5 separate regions of the Mus musculus genome follow, and all the other regions are reported to be linked to region 2. The links are microRNA targets in miRTarBase. Many come from high-throughput screens and were not tested one by one. Region 2 holds a microRNA gene; each other region holds the end of a gene's coding sequence.
The links. Region 2 holds the annotated microRNA mmu-miR-883a-5p (UGCUGAGAGAAGUAGCAGUUAC, at 3,097-3,118, shown strand). A microRNA usually pairs through its seed, bases 2 to 8, with sites in the 3' UTR of a target mRNA and lowers its output. Matches are read on the target gene's strand: a 7mer-m8 pairs with bases 2 to 8, a 7mer-A1 pairs with bases 2 to 7 and ends in A, and an 8mer does both.

Region 1 (4,520 bases), not on the chromosome of region 2:
CTGTATAGCCCTGGCTGTCCTGGAACTCAATGTAGACCAGGCTGACCTCGAACTCAGGAATCCGCCTGCCTCTGCCTCCCAAGTGCTGGGATTAAAGGTGTGCGCTACCACTGCCCAGCTCGTGTGGTTTTTTGTTTGTTTGTTTTGTTTATTTTTTGTTTGTAAAATGGGAATGTGCCTGGATGGGGGCTGGCACATTTATCGCAGCTGACTTGTGTTCGGGCACTAGGGGTGTGCTCCATCTGGTGACTGGTGCTTTTAACTTGAAGACATGATCTCTGCGATGGAGGGGAGCTCAGGGAACCTCTGAGAGAAATTGTTTTAGAAACCCACTCCCCTGGCATCTCAGATAGCAGTCTTACTCCAACTCCGTTCTCTCCTCAACGCCTCTCTTAGGTGTGGCCAAACGTAGACAAGTATGAGCTGTTTGAAAAGCTGGAACTTGTGAAGGGCCAGAAGCGGAAGGTGAAGGACCGTCTGAAGGCCTACGTGCGCGACCCCTATGCTCTGGACCTCATTGACAAGCTGCTGGTGCTGGACCCCGCGCAGCGGATTGACAGTGACGATGCCCTCAACCACGACTTCTTCTGGTCGGACCCCATGCCCTCGGACCTCAAGGGCATGCTGTCTACTCACTTGACGTCTATGTTTGAGTACCTGGCACCGCCACGGCGGAAGGGCAGCCAGATCACCCAGCAGTCCACCAACCAGAGCAGAAATCCCGCCACCACCAACCAGACGGAATTTGAACGTGTCTTCTGAGGCCGGAACTGGCCGGTGTTGTTCTTAGGTTAGGAGTGGATTGCTTCCTTTGCATGGAACATGTGACATGATGGGACATTTGAGATTTTCTCCTCCAGTACATATTAACTCCCACCCTGGCACTGGGAACAGCTGCCTGAGTGGGCTGGGGTGGAGCTATCCTGCCTGCCCCTCTCTGGAGGTCTCAGCGTGGACACAAAGTGAGGTGGGAGAGGCTCACCCACTGTGACTTTCTAAGAACTACTTGCATGGTGGGAGGAAGGCACAGGTCCCTCGCCATCGCCAGCTCTTCCTCTGGATGAGAGTTTGAGGGACAGAGGCGCCTCCAAAATGGGCTACTTTTGGTCTGGACCTTAGGGGCGTGGGGCTGTGTGAACTCCTGGTTCCTTTAAAAGGAGAATTTTATTTTGTTTTGTTAAGTTTAGAGACATTCCTGGACGCAGTTTGATTGGTTAAATTAAAAGTTGGTTATTTTTTTCCAGTAAATGGCTGCGTTTCCTGTGTTCAGACCTTCCCTCAGCTCTTGTCTCAGCTAGAAGCTAGGGTTTGGTCAGCCAGGACACTGCCAGTTCTTCTGTACCACCCAACACTCTGGAGACGTTCAGGGTTTGCCCTCTTCTCCTCCTGGGTACCTTCCACTGCGCTCTTCACCCCCGCTGAAGGCGTGTCCACGGTGCCAGTGTCCTGTGCTTGGTGTTGGCAAGTGCTGTAAGCTGAGCTGGAGTGAGCTGCTGGACCCGGGCTGCTTTGGCTCCTAAATCCTCAGACTGGACTCATAAGCAGGGCACTGCAGCCTTACAGTCATGGAGTGACAAGTGTAGCCTGTAGCTCCAGGGCTTGGGGGAAGCAGGACAGAAGTGGCCAGAGTGGGGTCAGGTGGCATGGGTTGGGGTGAGGGCAGGATGGAAGGCCAGTGTGGAGATGGGATGGTCCTAAGGATGCAGGGTAGGGACCCTTAGGGCACTGACCTAGGCGGTAGATTCCCCAAGAGTTTCCTGGAGTCTTCTCACAGAGCTGCCTGAAAAGGACAGTTTTAGTCCGCTAGCTAGCTCTGGGAGCTGATACAGTACTTGGCCTGTGATTTTGTATTTTCTTTTTTCCTTGCATGTTTATGCTCTTATGTATTCCTGGTACCCAGGGAGGCCAGAAGAGGGCTGATTCCCTGGAACTGGAGTTAAAGGTGGTTGTGCGCTGCTGCCGTGTATGTGCTGGGAATTGAACCAGGATCCTCTGGATTTGCAGCTAGAACTTTTAACCATGCAGCCATCTCTCAGCCCTTTATTTTGAGACAAAGCTGTCATGTAGACTAGGATGTCCAGAACTGCAGGTCTCCCTGCTTCCTCCTTTATTTAGGGAGCTAGGGTTACAGGTGTGCGCCATCACTTACACAGCAATCTTGGTCCTGGAAACCATCCGTCAGCATCTTCTGTGTATGTATCTGTGAGGATATCTGTCGTTGGGTTTACTGCCCGGGATAATCCCATCTTAATCAGTTATGTCTGCGGAGACTGTCTCCCCGTAAGGCCACGTGCTTAGGGCATGATTGGAGAGGACATTATTCAACCCGCTATAGCGAGAACTTAGAAAAGTCTTTGTGGCTACCAGCAGGTTTCAAATGCTCAGTGGCATGAAGACAAACTAATAGAGCTGTTCTGTTTCAGAATATCTCCCCTGAAGTATTCAAGGAATTCAGCCCTTTGCTAGAGATTGAACCCAGAACCGGGTAAGTGCTCTACCACTGAGCCACGCCCAGTCTCAGGGTTTGTATTCACTGACTCCCTCCGCAGCTTCCTGGAAGTCACTGTGTATAATAGATTTATTGTTGGATTTAGACTTCACCATAGCCCAGGGGACTTTCTCCAGTCGCCATTTTCCGGTTAAGTTTCATGGCTGGGAATTCAGGCTCTAGTAGGTTCCAATTAATTACTCTGATGGAGTAGAGTCCATTAGAAGTGAAGGCCTGGGGCTGGAGAGATGGCTCAGCAGCTAAGAGCACTGACTGCTCTTCTGGAGGTCCTGAGTTCAAATTCCAGCAACCACATGGTGGCTCACAACCATCTGTAATGAGATCTGATGCCCTCTCTGGTATGTCTGAAGACAGCTACAGTGTACTTACTATGTGTGATAATAAATAAATCTTTCAAAAAAAAAAAAAAAAGTGAAGGCCTGGGGAGATGGCAAGTCAGTCAAGTGCTTGCTGTCCAAGCACAAGGAAGCACTAAGGAGGTGAGAGGGGTCTGGCTTTCTGGCCAGCTAGTCAGGCTGAGTCAGTAGGCTCAGTGTGAGACCCTGTCTTTTTGTTGTTTGTTTGTTTTGAGACGGTTTCTCTGTATAGCCCTGGCTGTCCTGGAACTCTGTAGACCAGGCTGGCCTCGAGCTCAGAAATCTGCCTGCCTCTGTCTCCCAAATGCTGGGATTAAAGGCATGTGCCACCACTGCCCAGCTGAGGCCCTGTCTTAAAAAGGAAAAAACGAACAGTTGAGGAAGACACCAGTCAACCTCTGATTTTCACACACTTGCACACACACATGAACATTATACACACAAGCGTGTGTGTGAACATTTACGTTCATTACAAAGTCATGGACTCAGAATGCAGAATGAGGAATGTGCAGAGCAGCTGAGGACGCAAGGGTAGGTGTGGGGACAAAGGCCTCAGGCTGGTGAGGCTGGAACGGACACAAGGCCAGCTTTAGAACTTGGTGAAAGTGCGTAGCTCTGACTTTCCATGCCTCTGTGTTTCCTAATGGATGTTATATCTGTGTGGTAAGCCACAGAGCCGGCCTAAAACTCTGGAGCTGGGCTGCTGAAATGGCTCCATGGTGAAAGTGCCCTAAGGACAAAGCCTCATGACCAGAGTTCCCGCTCAGCCACCTGTATGGTGGGAGACCCTGACCTTCACAGGAGCTCTGTGGTGCGCATGCGCAAGCACACACATACACACACACACACACACACACACACACACACACACACACATGACACCTGCACACGTGAAATTAATGTTTCTGTAAAAATCCCTGAAGCAGCTGACTCCAAGCCTCCCACTCCTCCCTCTAGGAAGGAGCTGGGCTTGCTTCAGTATCCAGACCCGATGCCCAGCTGTAACGTGGGTCTTGTTCCCAGCTCCTAGACACTGTCACCCCTGTGTGCCAGTCTGATGCACATTAGACTGAGTCAGAAACACTAGGGAAGAAGGCCTGGACTCATTTTTTTTTTCTTTTTCTTTTCTCTCTTTTTTTTTTTCAAGACAGGGTTTCTCTGAAGCTCACTCTGTAGACCAGGCTGGCCTCGAACTCAGAAATCCGCCTGCCTCTGCCTCCCAAGCGCTGGGATTAAAGGTATGCGCCACCATGCCCGGCCTAGACTCATTTTCTTGATGTCATTTGCAGTCCAAGGACTTTGTCATGCATCCTGACTTTTTTTTTTTTTTCCAACCAATTGATCTGGTAAAACAGGGCCTCTTCTCCAGTAAACTTGAACTGGGTCAAGGTCGCCTCATTCCCGTGCTGCCCCTGTGTTTCTTTGTCTTGCTCTATTGGTCCTGCCAGGTAGGATGCCAGCCAGATGGGGCCAACTGTAAGAGGAGGTGGGCTGTGACCTGGAGGGCTAGGAGAGGCCAGGGAGAGCCAGTCTCACCTGGGCAGCAAGGCCAACCCCAGGACTTGGACATCTCCCAGATATCCCTGCCTCCTGCCACCCCCCAACCCCCACTCCTGACCTTTACCCTCAATCCAGTTGTTATTTAACTCACAAGG
Region 2 (4,520 bases):
ATAAGGCCCATGGTTCCCGGGGGCAAGGATGGTATAGGCTCCACCGGCACCGGCTGAATACTCATTTGAGGCATTAGTAGGAAGTCGGAGGCGGCACGCAGGTCCACCCTTGTGGGTCTTCCTGGGTCGCCTCTCTGACTGCTTCCTGGGTCCTGACAAACCGGTTCCCATATCTTTGAGGGCCCTGGGACCGAGGGCCCAATGACCCGTTTTTTGGCACATAAGCTGATTGACTATCAGGTGGGGGAAGAATTCTGCCCTTTATATCCCTCACAGAGCGACACTGGTCAGCTCTATGATAACCCTTGCCACACTTAGAGCAAAGAGTGAGGGTTCCCCGCTTTTTATCTGGAGCTCTGCAATCTTTCTTAAGATGCCCAGGCTTTCTGCAGTTAAAACATGTCCTCCGATCATTTCTGCCCATGGAGCATTTTTGGGATTGAAGGATGGCAGCCGCTAAGCCTGCATTGCTGAGAGGTCTAAAGGTCCCTGGTTCGATCCCGGGTTTCAGCACCAATTCTTATTAACGCGTTCTCACGACCGGCCAGGAAAGACGCAACAAACCAGAATCTTCTGCGGCAAAGCTTTATTGCTTACATCTTCAGGAGCCAGAGTGCAAGAGAGCAAGCAAGCAAATGGCGAAACCCCATCCCTTTTTAAGGAGAATTATCCTCCACCTAGGATGTAGTACTTCCTGATTGGCTGCAGCCCATCGGCCCAGTTGTCATCACGGGAAAGGCAGAACACATGGTGGGAAAACTGCCCCTGCATGTGTGCAGACTATGTTTACCACTTAGAACACAGCTGTCAGTGCCATCTTATAATGGCAAATGTGAGGGCGGCTCCTCACACAAGGTGAAGTTTTGCTTCTAGCACAGTCTCTACAAAGATTGATTTATAGATAAATAATACTTAAATTTGGTCTTATCATGTTTTTTATTTATATCTCATGTTGCCTCCCTTACAGTCCCTCTTCCATTGCCCCTCATCCAGGCTCATCAAGTCTGCATAATTAGGATAATCCTCTCCTACAGAGGCAGGACAAGGCTGACCTCTGCTACATATGTGCCAGGGGTCTTTGTCCAACCGATGTATGCTCATTGGTTGGTGAAAAAGTCTCCAGTAGCTTCCAGTGGTCCAGGTTAGTAGACATATTTGGTTTTCCTATGGTGTTCCTGTTGCCTTCAGGCCCTTCAGTCCTTTCCCCAACTTGTCCATAAGTCGTCTGAAACCTCTGTTCAATGTTTGGTTGTGGGACTCTACATCTATTCACTTAGCTTCTGGTTGGAACTTCTCAAGGCATAACAGAGTTTGCAAGCATAACAGAGTATCATTAATAATGTCAGAGATTGGTGTTTTTTCATTTGATGGATCTCACTTTGGACGAGTTATTGGTTGGCCATTCCTTCAGTCTCTGATCTATCTTTGTCCCTGCATTTCTTTTAGACAGGACAAATTTTGAGATTCCATCTTACACAAATCAGCATAGCTAAGATAAAAAACTGATGCAACAGCAGATGCTGGCAAGGATGTGGAGAAGAAAGAAGAACATTCCTCCATTGCTGGTGGGATTGCAATCTTGAAGACCCATTCTGGAAATCAATCTGGTGTTTTTTCAAAAAAATTGTAAATAGTTCTACCTGAAGATTCAGCAATACTGCAACCCAGATATTCTTCACCTGAAGAATAGATAGAGAAAATGTATTTCATTTACACAGTGGAATACTACTCAGCTATTAAGAGGGAGGACATCCTGAGTTTTGCAGTCAAATGGATGGAACTAGAAAATATCCTGAGTGAGATAACCCAGACAGAAAAGAACATGCATGGTATGTACATACTTATACCCATGACATACGCCCACAGACCCTAAGAAGTTAAACAAGAAGGAAGGCCCAATTGAAGATGCTTGAATCACACTTAAAAAGGGTAACAGAACTGTCATGGGAGGCAGAGGGAGCAATGTGGGTATGTGAGGGGGATATGTTTGCAGGATCAGGTGTGGGAAGGGAAAAGAAAGAGGCCCATAGGCCCAGGAGAATGAATGGAAATCTCTATCTTGCAGGGGACTTACGGGTGGAGGTAATCTCTAAGCAGACCCTGAGACCTAGGATAGGGAAGGCTCCCAGGAGCCATTGTGTGTGACCTTAGCTGAGATGCCTAACAATGTGGACATGGAACCTGAAGAGGCCACCTCCTATAAACAGGCAGGACCTCCTGTGAAAGATAAGGACACGAACCCACCCATAAAACTTTTGACCTAAAATCCACATTTTTTAAATTATATTTTTATTAATCCTTTACAATTTCATATTCACTTTGGTCATAATTATAATTAAGTTTGATAAAAGAATATGTTTTGTTGTGATCATCATTTCTCTTTAAGTTAGGGTAGTGACAGGTTTTTATGTGAAATGTACATGCAAAATCAATTGGATTTTCAATATCATCAGCTTAAGTGTGAAATCAAACATTTACAGACACAGTTTAGTGGGGGTGTGTTTAATTGTGAAGATTGTGATAAAAGCTGTTGGATGAAATTGTTGTTGTTGAGATGAAGTACAAAGGATCAGTCTATGCTATCTCAAAGTACAGATTAATACATACTGAAGCCTTCATTTGATATATTCTCTTGATGCTGATGACTAAATCATTGCAGGTATCTTGAGGTCTTGCCTTGTTCATTTGTTATTCTTTGGTGTCACCTGACCTATATATTTATAAGAATATTTGTCTTGTTAATTCTATTTTTGTTTTGTTTTGTTTTGTTTTTTTGAGACAGGGTTTCTCTGTTGACCAGGCTGGCCTTAAACGAACTCAGAAATCCGCCTGCCTCTGCCTTCCGAGTGATGGGATTCACGCCCGGCTATGACTTGTTAATTCTTAACCTCTTGAATTCATACAGATTCGAGGAGTATCAAGAAAGAAGCAAGTCTGATACCTTGAAATGGAGATGGAAGATAATGGAAAATATGATTATACTTCCTGAGGAATTATGTGTAAAGAAATAACATTGCATTCATGTCATACTGAGAAGAATCATGAAAGTTGTTTTTGAAGTCAGCTGATAATAATAATAATTCGTGTGCACTATAATGCTGAGAGAAGTAGCAGTTACTTTATTCTATAAGTAACTGCAACAGCTCTCAGTATTGTAAGGCTCAACAAACGCAGGGATGGTAGCCATATGGTCATATTATGCCTTCATAGAGAAGATAAATGTACTGATTCTGGATTATACTTCATCCATCTTCATGATATCTTCAGATCTATAACCATAGAGAAGAGAACGGTTGTAGAACTTTAGAAGTATACTAAGAAAAATCCTAATGGTGGAACATGAGAAGACAGCTTCGAAGAAGAATGTGTGGTTAAAAAAAAAAAGTAATTATTGTTGACGACTTACTTCAATGTTCTATTCAATTTTATTTCACATGTTGAAATAAAGACTTCAGATGGGCTGGTTCTAGAGTACCTGGGCAGTGCTCTACTCACATGGTTGCTAATCACGTGAAGTGTAGGTGAAAGCCACCATGCTGGGTAAAGTAAAGCTCATCATGTTCTTCATTTGTTGTGGCCTTGGGTAGTAAAGATGAAGAAACTATACATCCTTATTATGGCTCCAGAATCTGCTTCCTTGTACCTGAAGAAACTATGCTCTCATTTTTTTTTTAAGTTTAAATGTTGTGGAAGTTAGCATTATTCTAGCTTGCACAGAACCCAAATTATACAAATTATAAGAACAGAAAATTGCATGCCAGTCTCAATAGGGATCATGAATATAAATATCAGAAATAAAACCAATCAATGATTTCAGGCCCAACTGAATATCAATTCAAATATCTTGTGACAACTTAGATGATGAGTGCACGAAAGTGGACTGAAAAGCTACAAGTAATTAGAGTCTTCCTTTATAAATATGGCCCTAAGTGAAAAAGAACCAAACAGATTTAAATTCAAGTCACTGAAATTATGATGGTATCAGTGATTTGAATTTAAATAGACCAAGTTCCTATCTTCTGTATTCTGTAACTTTCTCCAGTAATTGAACAGCGATATACAGGTACAATTGTGTTGTATTCTCATCCTATGCTCCCAATATTCTGATTCTTTTAGAAGATTTTCATTACCTAGTTTTTAAAAGTCATTTGCAAAGTATATCACTGATTAATCTTAAAGTCACACTGGCTATCTGGCTATAGGTCAAGAGGTCTTCCTTTATCATGCAAGGTGACAAAGTATATTTTGTATTCCCAAACAGTTGAAAATAAATAAATCAATGTTAATATGTCATGCTGTAATTGGTGAAGTGATGAAAACTGCTTGGGATGATTAGCCTACATGGATGATACCTCCATATCTTCATGCTTTATGTTATATCTCACTCAAGAAGCTGTTAGACAGTTGGACTACCGACAAATCTTCCAGGTAAAGTACTGCTCTTTAATTCAGTTATTTTTGATAGGTTCTAGGTAGTATTAGTGCTTTCCATGTAAGATCACTGATAATGGTTTTCAGGA
Region 3 (4,520 bases), not on the chromosome of region 2:
CCTGAGAACAGACCCAGGTACCCGTGGCTGAGCTGAGCTTCCTCTGCCAGGGAACTGTGGCACACACTGCACTCCCACTTGTCTTGCCGCCAGCATTGCACCAGCAGTCCAGAATTCCTGCCTGCCTGAACAAATGATTTCTAATTATTTTACTGCATACATGTTTTATCTGTATCTGCACCATGTATGTGTGCATGCCTAGTGCTTGTAGAAACTAGAAGAGAGCGATGGATCCCTGGAACTGGAGTTATAGACAGGTATGAGCTGCCACACAGGTGCTGAGAATCAAACCCATCCTCTGGAAGAGCAGTTATATTCTTAGTGCTGAGCCATCTCTACAACTCCAAAAGATAGTCTGAGGCCAAAGCTACTTGAATGTCTTCCAAATGAGGTGAAGGCTGGAGGAGGCCTGGCACACTTTCATTCCTGCGGTGGGGAGGAGGAAGCATGCAGATATCCATGGGTTCCAGGCTAGCCAAGGCTACATGCATATTGAGACCCTGTCGCAAAACACAACAGAAGTCAGTAAGATGAAACTTGTACTGGGGGAAATAAAACAGAAAAATCCCTGTCAGGTTTGGAACAGGATGGAGGATCTAGCAGGAGTGTCCAGCTACATGAAGCATCTGAGTTGGAGGCCACCCTGGACTACAGAGAGTGAATTCCAGGACAGCCAGGACTCCACAGAGAAATCTGTCTCAAAATCCAAAATAAAATAAAATCTGTGGGGCGATGGTGGTGCAGGCCTTTAATCTCAGCACTTCGGAGACAGAGTCAAGTGGATCATTGAATTTGAGGCCAGCTTGGACAAGAGTTTGTTCTAGGACAGGCAGGGCCACACAGAAAAACCCTGTCTTGAGAAATACTGTCTTGAAAAACCCAAAATAAACAAATAAATATAAATTTAAAATTCAGGGTTTTTTTGTTTTGTTTAACCTTCAACAGAAAGGTCCAGATAGCTTCCTTACAAGGGGTTAACAGATGGAATGTTCTTTTCTCTTGTAGGGAACTGATGGTGTAGAATATTTATTAATTCCTGTTGACAGCGGAATATTGGCTGATTTCTTGGAGAAGGAAGAGGAGGAGGCATAGGCTGTCTCTTATCCTTGAACTTTCTGTGGAAGCCTCATTGTGGCCCAGCTGCTGCTCCTCAGTAAGAATGCTGGTTTACATCCAACATTAGGTCATTCTCTCCAGCATACAAGATGTTCTATGGAAGAGGCATAGCATCAATTTGAACTTTGATTAGCCTGGCTGGTGTACTGTCTCTAATACTATGCAGTGGTCGTTGAGTTGGATAAAAGTGCCTTTAATTTATTACTTCTCTGGAGACTTCTTGCTGGTTGTACAGTGTGCTCAGGGATTCTTTGGAACTGGATGGTTTTGGGTTATTTTATACTGAATGCTATCCCTAATTTTTGAGGGCAATTTAACACTCCAGAGCTGAATTACTACAAGTGCACTTGCTTCAGACGGTCAGAGGACAAGAGTTCAGAGTAGCGTTCTCACGGGACTGATGAGGAAGGAGGTGTCCTGCTTCTCCTGAGATGATGGTAGAAGATGTCAGTGGACTGAGATGACACAGCCTTCTCCTTGTGGACTTAGGCCACACATGCTAAATAAAGACAGCCAGCACTGTTCAAATGAGATCACGGGAGAAGTACAAGGGATGTGTGCATATGTGGAGCATGTGTCCAATCTAGAAAGCATATTTAAAATCGTTGGTATCGGTACCAGGAGAAGCCAGGCTAAGAAATAAAGTCCTGATTTACATTTTATTGTTTTCAGTACAGTAGAAAATAAAAACATTTCATCATTCTTGTACATTGACATTTTCTATTTTCTTAAATAGCTCACAGGGATAGGTAGCGCACACCTTTAATCCCAGCACTCAGGAGTCAGAGGCAGACGGATTGCTTCTCTCCTTTAAGACACAAGACCTGAGCTCACATTTGTAATACCAACATCAAGAAGGCAGAGGCAGAGGAAAACATGAGTTCAAGACCTAGACTAGTTAGTGAGTTCTAGACCAGTCTAAGCTGCGGTGATGTCCTGTTTCAAAAACAAACATTCAGTAAATAAATACACATTGGTAACATGAAACCTGCTGGTCTGCACTTTGCTTGTGTGGAATGTGGTATGTGGGTGTCTGTGCAGAGACTGAGTAAGATGTCTTCTACCACCTTCTGCCTTATTTCCTTGAGACAAGGCCTCTCTTCACTGAACCAGAGCTCCTTGTAGGCCAGATGGGCTGCCAGTGATCCTGTCTTCACACCAGTACTGGTGTGACAGGCACAGCCATGCCCAGCTTTTTGTGAGTGCTGGGATCCAAACTCAGGTACTTCTTACCCACTGAGACATCCCCCCAACTCCATGTACTTTCACAGTTTTGCTTAATTTCTCTAGTGTAACTCCTACAGTATAAACAAACATCTGATTATAGAATGTGACATCTTTGCAGTTGCCTTTATAGTTTTTGTTATTAGATGTCGCTCTTAATAAATCAAAGTGCAGTTTGCAGAGTCCTTTTGTAGTTTTGTTTTGAAGTGTCTGGCAAGGATTGAATGCATCGTACAAATCTAATGGGTACCTAGGCAGATCGCTATACACTCACCCCCTTCTCTGAGCAGCATTGTCCCTTCATGCCTAGCAGTTATAACCTGACTTGAAGCTCTAATTCCTGCCTAATTGGTTTCTGGGCTGGAGGTGTAATTTCACTGGGGGAACTCTTGATGTTATTTTAGTTTTTAGGTTAGCATACAAAAGTAATGGATTCCCTTATGCCCTTTCAAATACATAGTATCCCTGTATTGGTTCTCATCTGGCCCCCTCCCCAAAAGCCATGTTCCCTCTGCTTTCTTAGCATGTGCATCCCATCACCCTCATTTGTTCTTTTTTTTCCTTAAAAAAAAAAACCTCGTCCTGTCTCATCCCTTTTTGGTTCTATCACCTGTGTGCACCTACGTACACACACCACACACACATACATTCTAGGTTCTTCATAGAGAAATACAGTGTGTCCTTTTTTTAAGGTTTATTTAATGTATGTGAATACATTGTAACTGTCTTTACACACACTAGAAGAGGGCATTGGATCCCATTACATGTGGTTGCTGGGAATTGAACTCAGGACCTATGGAAGAGCAGTCAGTGCCCTTAACTGCTGAGCCATCTCTCCAGCCACCCCTTCCCCCCGGGCACCCCAGTTTCTTTCTGGGTCTGGCTTGTACAGTGACTGCAGAAAATGCTGGGTAGTAATCAGTCATATTTTGAACACTTAACACCATTAATTAGGAGGAGTTTGGAGTTCAGTGGTAGAACACTTGCCTTCCATTCATAGAGCTAGAACATAGTCCAAGAATAGTCCAGTCCTGTGAGGGACTTCTGAGTGTTTGTGAGAAAACAGTTTCTTCAAAAACACAAAATTGTTCTTGGGATGTGCTTCTGTGCCCTTCCCCAGTGGAGCAAGCAGATAGGAGTGAGGTGACTTTAGATCATTCCTTACAGTTGGCTGGCTATTCTTATTGTTCATACACCTCCATGGAAACCATGGTTTTGCTACATGAGGCTTGTCCTTGTGATTGTGCCTTTATTCAGTTGACTCTTAGCCCTCAGAGTGTAAATTGTCCGATGGCTCTGAATAAACTTGGCTATTGCGTGAGACATCAGCTCACCTCATTTTTAGGCCCTACTCTCAAGTCCATGCTGCCAACTAGAGTGGTAAACAGTGTCCAGTTTGATCCCTGCACCACCAAGAAACAAAACAAAAATTAGAGAAGGTTTGCCTTTAATGTACTCTTTACAGACAGTTTTACCGAATGAGCTATGGCTTTTGTTGAGCCAGAGTCGTGAACTGAAATGAGAAGTCCAATACAGCTCTGCAGAGGGTGGAACACCAACTCCTGCACAGCCGTTTCAATCCAGGTGATCTGTGGCTTCTGTCATCATGGTGTCCTTGACGTCCTTGCATTTAAACCACACGGAGAGGGTCCCTGTCTGTCTCAGACAGGATAATGTTAATCTTATTCTCAAAGTGAACACCCAGCATTTCTTGAAGCTCAGAAAGGAAGCCTCTTTCAGTGTTGCTGTGTTCACAAAGGATGACATTGATCCCTTTGGAAGCAGCATCCAGAACATCATGGTGGGACATTTCACCTGAGAAAAAGGGAAGAGCAGCAACTTAGATATCAGACTCAGTCTGAGCACTCTGGCTCCTTCAGCAGAAAGCTCCTGTTTGTATTCTGGATGAGTGAACAAAGTTCTGTATTACTGGGCACAGAAATGGAAGACAAATGGTATGGTCAGATGTAGGATGTTTGCCTCGGGTACAAGGTCCTGTGTTTTGCTGCTGAGCACAGAAAAAAAGTTCAAACTCAACTGTACACATCACTTTAGGATGCTGAGTCATATCTCTGTTGAAGAGCAAGGACACAGGAATGGAACAGAAGACAGAGAAAGCACCGCTATGGTGTGTGTGCAGAAGTCAAAAGTCAGTTCGCTCCTCCCTTTGTAGGATCTGG
Region 4 (4,520 bases), not on the chromosome of region 2:
AGTTAGACACTGTTACTAGGTAGCGTGTGTTGTTTGCATCGAGTAATGTGTGAAAAATACATTGTGTTCTTTCTAGCTAATTGGTGAACTCCTAAGACATTATCTCAAATTTGTGGATTCATTCTGTGTTAAGATTCTAGAAACAAATGAGCAAGAAATTCATTCATTCATTCATTCATTCATTCATTCTTTTTCTCTCTTTCTCCCTCCTTCCTTCCTCCCCTCCCTCCCTCCCTCCCTCTCTCCCTTCTTCCTCCCCTCCCTCCCTCCCTCTCTCCCTTCTTCCTTCCCTCCCTCCCTCCCTCTCTCCCTTCTTCCTTCCCTCCCTCCCTCCCTCTCTCCTTCCTTCCTTCCCTCCCTCCCTCCCTTTCTCTTTTCCATCTCTCTTTCTCTCTCCTTGGGTATTTGCTTATTTTGACACAAGACCTCACATATCCCAGGCTAGCCTTGAACATGCTATGTAACTATGAGTTCTTGGTCCTTCTCCCTCGCCTCCTGAATGCTGGGATTATCCGATACTCAGTTCTGCAGTTTTGCTTTAAGAAATTGCACAGGGTTTTTGGACCTTCTTAGGCGCGCTATCTAGGACGAAGCAGTTAAGTGGAGACTCGGTAAGTAGCAGAGCTGCAGCCCAAAGGCTGTGAACACTTGCAGACTTCCTCTTGCTGCAGAGAGGTCTCTCATAGTTAAACCCAAAGGTGACTAAGTAAGACCCACCTGCATTAAAGAGGACTTTCCTGCCTTACTCAAAATTCAGCAATTTCGTGTTGACTTTCCCAGAAGCATCCAGAATGATGCTTGACCAAATCTAGTCTCCTTAGTTCAGCCATGCAGGCACATGGAATGGGCCACCACAGACCTTGGACCTTCCTGAGGCCTTCTGGATCTCAGTGTCACGAAGGCCATGGCAGCTATGGAGCCCTAGAAAAAGTCACTGTCCCCAGATAGAAATTCTCAGAAAACAACCATGGAATTAGAAGGAGTAGAAGGGTTATCAGGTAACAGGGGAGGCAAGTGCATATAATTGAAACACATTGTGGACATGTATGAAATTATCATGAAACCCATCATCAGTATGTGTAGTTAATATATGCTAATCAAGATGCAAGATCAGGTGACTGCTGATAAAGTATCAATAGGAGCTTGGGTGACCACAAGCCGTAAAGCCATTGTACAGTGTGAGAACTTGACACAGCTGGAGTTATCACAGAGAAAGGAGCTTCAGTTGAGGAAATGCCTCCATGAGATCCAGCTGTAAGGCATTTTCTCAATTAGTGATCAAGGGGGGAAAGGCCTCTTGTGGGTGGGACCATCTCTGGGCTGGTAGTCTTGGATCTATAAGAGAGCAGGCTGAGCAAGCCAGGGGATGCAAGCCAGTAAAGAACATCCCTCCATGGCCTCTGCATCAGCTCCTGCTTTCTGACCTGCTTGAGTTCCAGTCCTGACTTCCTTTGGTGATCAACAGCAGTATGGAAGTGTAAGCCGAATAAACCCTTTCCTCCCCAACTTGCTTCTTGGTCATGATGTTTGTGCAGGAATAGAAACCCTGTGTAAGACAGTCATCCTACAGACTTTGTACTATTCTTACATGCCGGTTGTCCACACCAGGCCATGTGCATGTCCAGTTTGGAGCCTCTTTCAGCCAGGAAGAGTTTTCACCAATTTATAGATTTGCCAATCTTAATTTGAAATATTTGTCAATAAGATACACTATCATCCAGTGTGTTTTAACTTTTGGATCAACTAAAAAAAGATTTTTTTAAACAAGGGACCCACAATGCCTGTTAGTAGGACTTTTTTTTTTTTAAGATTTATTTATTTATTTAATGTATGTGAATACACTGTAGCTGTCTTCAGACACACCAGAAGAGGGCATCGGATTCCCATTACAGATGATTGTGAGCCACCATGTGGTTGCTGAGAATTGGACTCAGGACCTCTGGAAGAGCAGTCAATGCTAATAACTGCTGAGCCATCTCTCCAGCCCAACTAAGACATCTTAATGATGAAATTAACTTCCCAGATCTTCAGTCCATTTCCTGGGGTGATTACTGACTATTTTCTCAGTTCAGTTTCAAAAGAAAATTGTCAATGTTATGAATAGTTTTTATTTCCTTTGGGAAGAGTTTAATTCTTGCTGTGTACCCAAGGTTTATTTCTGCTGATTGGAGAACCGGTTAGAATTTATTATTTTCCTTTTTACTGAATTTAATAACATATTTATCCTCCTATGACGAAGTGACACTTTCTTTTCTCCTTCTCAACCTTCATTTTCTTTCTCCAAATACTCTATGGCTTCTCTCTCTAAGTCCCTTCTTGAGGTAGCAGCTGTTAAAGCCACAACCCTCCCATTCTTAGTGTTCCACAGAGCAACCACACCACCCACAGACCTCAAGGGGCTACCCTGTACCTTTTTTTAGCCACAAATTAAATCCATTACAAGTTGAACGCTAAGAAAACTTTTAATTGTGCATATGTACTAGGTAGCATCTCAGATACAAATGGCTGGCCATCAACCTTGCTATCAAAATATGTAGTGTGGGAATATGTTTTTAGAAGGACAGAAAAGATGCCACTAGGGGCCCATAAATCTGCCTTCTTATGAGTATAGGTGCAAATTTACATGTGCAATGATGCAGGTTTGTTTTTATTAGACAGTCTCCTGTAGTAACAGAGCAAGTTGGCCTTGAACTCCTGATGTAGCCAAGGGTGGTCTTGAACTCCTCATTCTACTTCCTCCACCTCCCGAGTGCTAGAATTACAGGCACCAGGCCCGGCCACTCACGCAAACTTTTATATGTGGATTGGATCATTTTTTTCCCCTTTCAGTGAATCCCACTGGAGCTGTGGGGCAGAAAGCGCCCTGATGTCCAGTGTACCATGGTAATGGCTTAGTTTCCCTGGGCTCTTTTTCTCATATTAAGATTGTTAAAGTGTATTTCAAACACCAACTACTACGGTGTACCTGTAGGGAGGAGGACCCTCCCTTGTCACTGGTTGATTGGCACCCCACCTGGCTTTACATTTCAGGGAGGGCTCATCCTGGTGGCCTGCAGAGATCCTTCAGCAGCCAGTATCTTGAATGTTCATTCCAGTGGCAGGTTGGACATCAGATTTGTTTCCCAGGGAAATATCAGTACTGGCTTTACCTGACATATTTGCAAGAGAAGAGTTTAGCCCCAAGGCTTGCTGGGGCTGCTGGCTGCAGAGGGCCATTCTGTGATCCAGGATACATCACAGGTTAGCATCCCAGTCAGATGCCTCCCACAGAGGTTGCCAGGAGGGTCTTCAGAGTGCCAGGGTACTAAGCAAAGTTCATGGGTGCTTGGTTACCCCTGAAAATTCCTCAGAGAAGTGTTCAATGTCAATGACACCCTATGCCACAGAGACAAAATCCTTCCATCCCATAATCATAACCTTGACGGAAGCCACTGGGCCTGCCAGTGCCTAGGGATGGGAAAGGGGGTCCTCTATAGAACCTTGGAGGGCCAGAGGCTGGCAAAGGGATAGAAATGTCCACTCCCTGCCTTCTTTTACCCCTTTAACCCACTGTGTGCCACAGACCCCCAAAGGGCGACAGCTTGAATGTTCAGACCAATCAGATAAGTTGGCTGGATGTCTCTTCACATTCCAGAAGACTTGGAAATGAGAATTCTGCCAAAAGTGGTTCTGTAACCGATGATCTGGGTGACAGATTGCAGTTGAAAACGTCATCTATTGAACCTAAAAACACAGTAAATAAGGCATTCATTTAACCATCACTACAGAAAGAAAGAGTGTCTCTGAAACTCATCCAAAACAGCCATTTCAGCAATTAGCAGGGAATCCTGGCTTCCACGGGGACACTCAAAAACTAAGCAGAAGTGCATTGATTTCTGCTTATCTGTGCTATGACTGTTGGCTGGGTGTGATGGCACACACCTTTAATCCCAGCACTCAGGAGGCAGAGGTTGGTGGATCTCTGTGAGTTTGTGGCCAGCCTGGTCTACACAGCAAGTTTCAGGCTAGCCAGGGAGGGCTACATAATGAGACTCCTTCACAAACAAACAACAACAAAAATATTGATGGGCATTCAGGGCGTTATAACCACTTTCCATTGGGCTGGAGACCTGAAGTACAGCAGCACATATTGGGAAAGGGATGCTTGAGACACAGGCCAGGGTCAGGGGTCAGGAGTCAGGGGTCATGGGTCAGGAATCAGATTCTGACTGTTGGTTGGTTTACTCATCTTGCAGGACTGAGGAAGAAAACAAGGGCTTCCCACATGAGGAGCAAGGACTCTTCTACTGAGCCACACTCCCAGCTAGAGATCAGATTCTGAAGTGGACAGAACCAGGTTGGCAGTCAGTCTAAGGGCTGCATGCCAGGCTTGGCAGCCTGCCAGTGCAACAGGTGTGCCTAGCTGTGCTTTCTGCAATGGCAGCCAATCCCAGGGGGCCGTCTTCTCCATGGCTCACCCTAGATCTGGCTCAGGGGTGACTTTCTAGGGAATGTGACACTTTGTTACCCTGTGTGCCCTA
Region 5 (4,520 bases), not on the chromosome of region 2:
TTTGTCAGGGGATATTTTGGGGTTACTTTCTCCCCACAGTTATAAGGTTGGAAACTAACTACTAACTACTAACTAACTACTGCTAAGTAAACATATTTTGAAGATATCTAAGTATTGAAAATAGGATCAGCTGCCATGATCTGTATTGGGAAATTTACTAGTCATTTCAATTTAAATCTGATGTCAACCTATTGTCAGAGTCTTGTGTGTGCGCTTTTGTGTGTGTGTGTACGCATGTGCTATGGATGCCTAACGTGCACTCACTAAATGATTGTATGAGAAAAAGAACGTGGTGTGACTACCACTAAATTTATTATTAAAAGAAAGTTGAGTACTCACTGACTAGGCCAGTGAGCTATTTAAGACTCAGTGTGTTTTCTGCAACAGGTCACCACTAACATCACCTGGGGCATTCAGCCGGCGCCCATGCCTGTGCCTGTGTGGGTGATCATCTTGGCAGTTCTCGCAGGGCTGCTGCTACTGGCTGTGTTGGTATTTGTAATGTACAGGGTAAGTAATGGGCGTTGAAGGGGGTAGGGGGATGGAATAAGAGAAGAAGGGACAGGATGAAGGGAGTAAAGAAAAGGAGAAAAGGACCCACAGTGTTGCTGCCTGGTGAGCAGGGCTTATTTCAGGATGGGACACTAAACAAAAACGCCATTTGAATTTTCGAGGTGATAATAGAGTCGGTCATACTTTCAGCGATCTGTTACTGAGCTAGAACTATGCTTTTTCTTTAACTGGCAGATGGGCTTTTTCAAACGTGTCCGACCACCTCAAGAAGAGCAAGAAAGAGAACAGCTTCAGCCTCATGAGAATGGCGAAGGAAACTCTGAAACCTAAGGTGCTTCTTAAGTGGCGCCACTTCTGTCCGCTCCAAGTTCACCACCGTGGTGGTGGATTTCAACATCTCTCGTGAACAGTGAAATCCCAGGACTGTATTGCTGAGAGCACCCAGCAGTCTCAGTTTATCCACAAAATTGAAATGGATATTTGTCGACTTCTCTTTATGAATAAGTTCAGATTACATTTACTTCGCCTACACTAACGTGTGTTCTTAGGGACTTAAGTGATGGAATTTCAAGTGATTATCTTTGTTCAGTGTACATAAGACAGACAGCACTGAGTCAGCACGTTACATAGCATAGTACCTCTTCAGTTACTGTTCCTAATTGACTGTGTGGGGTTTCTCTCTTCGACGTTACGTTAGGGCAATTAGGATTGTAAAGCAGTTCAAATTTAGACCATCAGTAAGTTTGCACAGGCACTTAGAACAGGTACACATTACACTACAGTTGACTTCATAAGCTACTGAAGACTTTGCAATTGCATGGACTTAGATTTTAATATCATTTACACAGTAGAACTTTTAAATAACACGATACCATCAAAATTCTTTCCTGGGACTATAGCTCACTTCGAAGCGTGTGCAACTCCCTGGGTTCAATCCTGCACACTGGGAGGAAAACCAGCAGTTTCCTGTATTAACAATGGTACAGTATTTTTATATGAAAGTTAGGTTTTTATTTATGTGTAGTCTGCATTGTGTCTTATTGTATTTTAACTTTTGTAATTTAAATTCTACATCAAATCCTTTAAGTCGTTTCCTGCAGAAAATTTTATAATTAAAAATACCCGTTAAGTAATAGTGTGGTCTCAGCTGCTGCTGCTGCTGCTGCTGCTGCTGACTGAAGCCCGTGGAGTTGGAAGGGGTTTTTGAAGTACATCTATTCCCTTTGTTTGGCTGCCTGCAATGTGGAAAAGCCCTGGAGACTCTCCATGGGTCTCTACTCTAACTGCTCATCAAAAAGACATTCTTTAATTGGACCAGAGCGTTTAATTATTAGTAATTTATTTTCCTCCTGTCCTCATATTTTCCTTCCACTTCCAAAACTGAGAATGGCTCAAGACCTTCTTCATAACCTATAGGAACCTGGATCTCGCGCCCTTACCCCACGAGAGATGCCTGGGACCCACATTCCAAAGGTGGCTCATGGGATGGTTTCTAGCAATAGCATGGTAGAACCTCAGGTTAAGCAAGGTGATCTATAAAACCTGCCTCCACTGTCAGAAAGAATGCTACAAAGGTGTTTTTGTAAGCAGTTCTTGTTCCTTAAACCTTCTAACTCTGTCTTACATTTTTTAATTTAAATTACCTTTCTGGGACTTTAATAGAGGCAGCAGAGGAAGCACGGGACCGTCTTAAGTGGTGGTGATTTATTCACAGTTCCTCAAGGCCCCGGGATAACTATCAATTATAGCTCTATTTTTGTGCAATTACATCATGTTATGCATTGGAAGTTGAGAATTTTAATAGCTTTTTAAAATGCTGTCCTCATTAAGCAATGAAAAATATTTCTCTTAAATAATTGAATATTTTTCTACATTTTAAAAGTAATTGAAGTTTGTCTCACCGTATCTTAGGCTAATTCCATGTGCATATGGATGAGCTAATTTGGAGAATATATTTTCATAACATGAAGCACATTTATGTGAGTTGTACGAATTAGAATATAGACAGGACCCTATATTTAGCTTTAATAAAATTTTAAATTAATGAGTTCTGGCTTGAAAGATCATAATCATATATGCAATAATTATTTTTTTAAACCAATACATTTAAATTCTTTTAAGAAACATTTTGGTCTTAGGGACAAGTGTCTCTAAGCTACTTAGGACTACCACACAGGTCACTAAGTTGGCCTATACAAACTTTTACCTTCTTTGTCTGTCAACATAATAGTTGTCATTCCTGAAAATCAATGAAATTCATTCTTTGTAAAAATCAATATTGATTTTTACAGTTATTCCTATTATGGCTTCTATGCCAAGGAATAACTTTCTGTTAGAGATTGAAAGATATTTGTAATTGGAAATTAACATGATGTAGTTTTCAACAATAGCATGGATTTTCTTTTAAAAAATATAAATTTGTATCTCTGTAAACTTAGGAACTGTAATTTGAGAGTTAACACTCTGAAAAAAATGTTGAGATACTCTTTATCCCATAACAGCATAGGCATGTAGTCAACAAAATAGCAAGAGATTATTTTAGATTCATATTTGTAATTTACCAATAATTAACATTTATTTCTAAGCATAAAATTTTCATAATATAGGTTAATTAAAGAAATTGATTGATCCAGAGGACATTTGACACATGTGAGGAATATTAACGTGGATACTGATTTCTTATAGAGATATTTATTTTAGAGTTGGTACTTTAAAACATCTGTGTGAGGGTTACTTTCCTCCCTTATGTTTAATTATCATCATAATTCTGATTGTGTTCTGAATGACTACGGAAGGTGAAACAGTCAAAATATTGTCTTAAATCTACCTGTATTACAATATTACTTATTAATAGTAAATCCTCATGAATACATTATTTATATAATGAGGAAAATCACTAAGAGCAGACAAGAGTTTGTTGCCGCCTTACGAGAACAGTGTGAGTTTCTGTAGTGAGTCTAACCCCGAGGAGGGAATTTAGTGGCAAAGTATATATTGGTAGAGCAACTGGTTCTTGTAGGGCAACAGAAGGCCAAGGTGGCATCCATCCCCATTTGAGAGAATTCTGGGGAGAGCCTCAAGGAGAAGGAAAGGAAGTTGTTCTAGAGTCTCTGTGTGTGGCCATTGCCTATCTCTGTGTCACCTTGTTCTTACTCGTGGCTAGCTTGTACATTTAATTTGATGAGTAAGGGGAGATGACCAAAATGTATTATGGGATCTAAAAAGACAAATACAATTGCTTGATGTCTAGTAATTTGTAAAGGTTTCTTTGGACTTGGTCCTTTTATTTGAACCATGAACCTGTGGCTATGCCATCTGCAGTATACACTGGCATTCATTATAATTTCTGATATGTCATGGACTTCCTGTGAGGTACTGAATCTTTGAATTTTGTTGTCATTGTTCTTAAGTGCAATATAACAATGTAACGAAACTTAAATATAAGTCACTATTTAGTAATCTTAATCCGAAATTTATTAGTATTTTTTTGTTAGCAGAAAAGAACAACTCTGCTGTAGTTGTAGATATATAGGTGAAATTTTTTGTTTTTTGCTTTTTCTTTGCTTTTTTTTTTTTGTTTGTTTGTTTTTTTTACCTCTAAACCATCCAATCTGCATTTTATTTTAGGTGGAAGATGAACTATTCCTTACCAGTTTTAAAACACTTTCAGTATATTAAGGTAACTTGGAAGCTGTGTGTATCAAATTCTTTTGCTCGCTAAGTAACCTGGAAGATAATTTTTTTTGGCTTCTCTCGTGATCACCCACATTGGGTGAGACATAAGATGAGTCTCTCCTGAAATCTGTCATTTGCTAACTTGTTTTGAGTTAGTAAAAGCAGGTACCATGTTCTGCTTTGTTTCCAGTGTGTAACTTGTGACTGTACAATAAACTTGAACGTGTGGTGCCAGCTTCCTGTGTGGATTCTATCCTCTCCTATGAGCTCATGTTTCCTAATTACGGGAACCAGCGATACTGCATCAAACAGTGACTTCAGGGTGGTGACAC

Region 1: the mRNA of Cdk9 is a reported target of mmu-miR-883a-5p. Seed matches in the 3' UTR shown: 7mer-m8 at 945-951, 7mer-m8 at 1,289-1,295, 7mer-m8 at 2,031-2,037 and 7mer-A1 at 2,741-2,747.
Region 3: miRTarBase lists Nif3l1 as a target of mmu-miR-883a-5p. Seed matches in the 3' UTR shown: 7mer-A1 at 3,162-3,168.
Region 4: miRTarBase lists Medag as a target of mmu-miR-883a-5p. Seed matches in the 3' UTR shown: 7mer-A1 at 1,966-1,972 and 8mer at 1,916-1,923.
Region 5: the mRNA of Itgav is a reported target of mmu-miR-883a-5p. Seed matches in the 3' UTR shown: 7mer-m8 at 1,655-1,661.

Annotation. Positions count from the first base shown.
Region 1 is chr2:32,704,166-32,708,685 of GRCm38, reverse strand. Cdk9 (cyclin-dependent kinase 9 (CDC2-related kinase)) reads left to right here. Exons shown (of 7, transcript NM_130860.3): 7 at 397-2,904. The coding sequence ends at 762. It also overlaps a transcript of Fpgs not described here. Among named protein-coding and RNA genes, the nearest start is that of Cdk9, 6.4 kb to the left of the region's middle.
Region 2 is chrX:66,779,401-66,783,920 of GRCm38, reverse strand. It overlaps Mir883a (microRNA 883a), which reads left to right and starts at 3,088; the gene lies at 3,088-3,163. It overlaps Mir742 (microRNA 742), which reads left to right and starts at 3,484; the gene lies at 3,484-3,548. It also overlaps the pseudogene Gm14681.
Region 3 is chr1:58,460,776-58,465,295 of GRCm38, reverse strand. It overlaps Nif3l1 (Ngg1 interacting factor 3-like 1 (S. pombe)), which reads right to left. Exons shown (of 7, transcript NM_022988.3): 7 at 3,020-4,155. The coding sequence ends at 3,971. Orc2 (origin recognition complex, subunit 2) reads left to right here. Exons shown (of 18, transcript NM_008765.3): 18 at 1,006-2,525. The coding sequence ends at 1,092. Among named protein-coding and RNA genes, the nearest start is that of Gm23966, 3.6 kb to the left of the region's middle.
Region 4 is chr5:149,428,990-149,433,509 of GRCm38, reverse strand. Medag (mesenteric estrogen dependent adipogenesis) reads right to left here. Exons shown (of 5, transcript NM_027519.4): 5 at 1,787-3,723. The coding sequence ends at 3,599. Among named protein-coding and RNA genes, the nearest start is that of Tex26, 8.4 kb to the left of the region's middle.
Region 5 is chr2:83,802,493-83,807,012 of GRCm38, forward strand. It overlaps Itgav (integrin alpha V), which reads left to right. Exons shown (of 30, transcript NM_008402.3): 29 at 388-510; 30 at 748-4,425. The coding sequence ends at 843. Among named protein-coding and RNA genes, the nearest start is that of Fam171b, 7.9 kb to the right of the region's middle.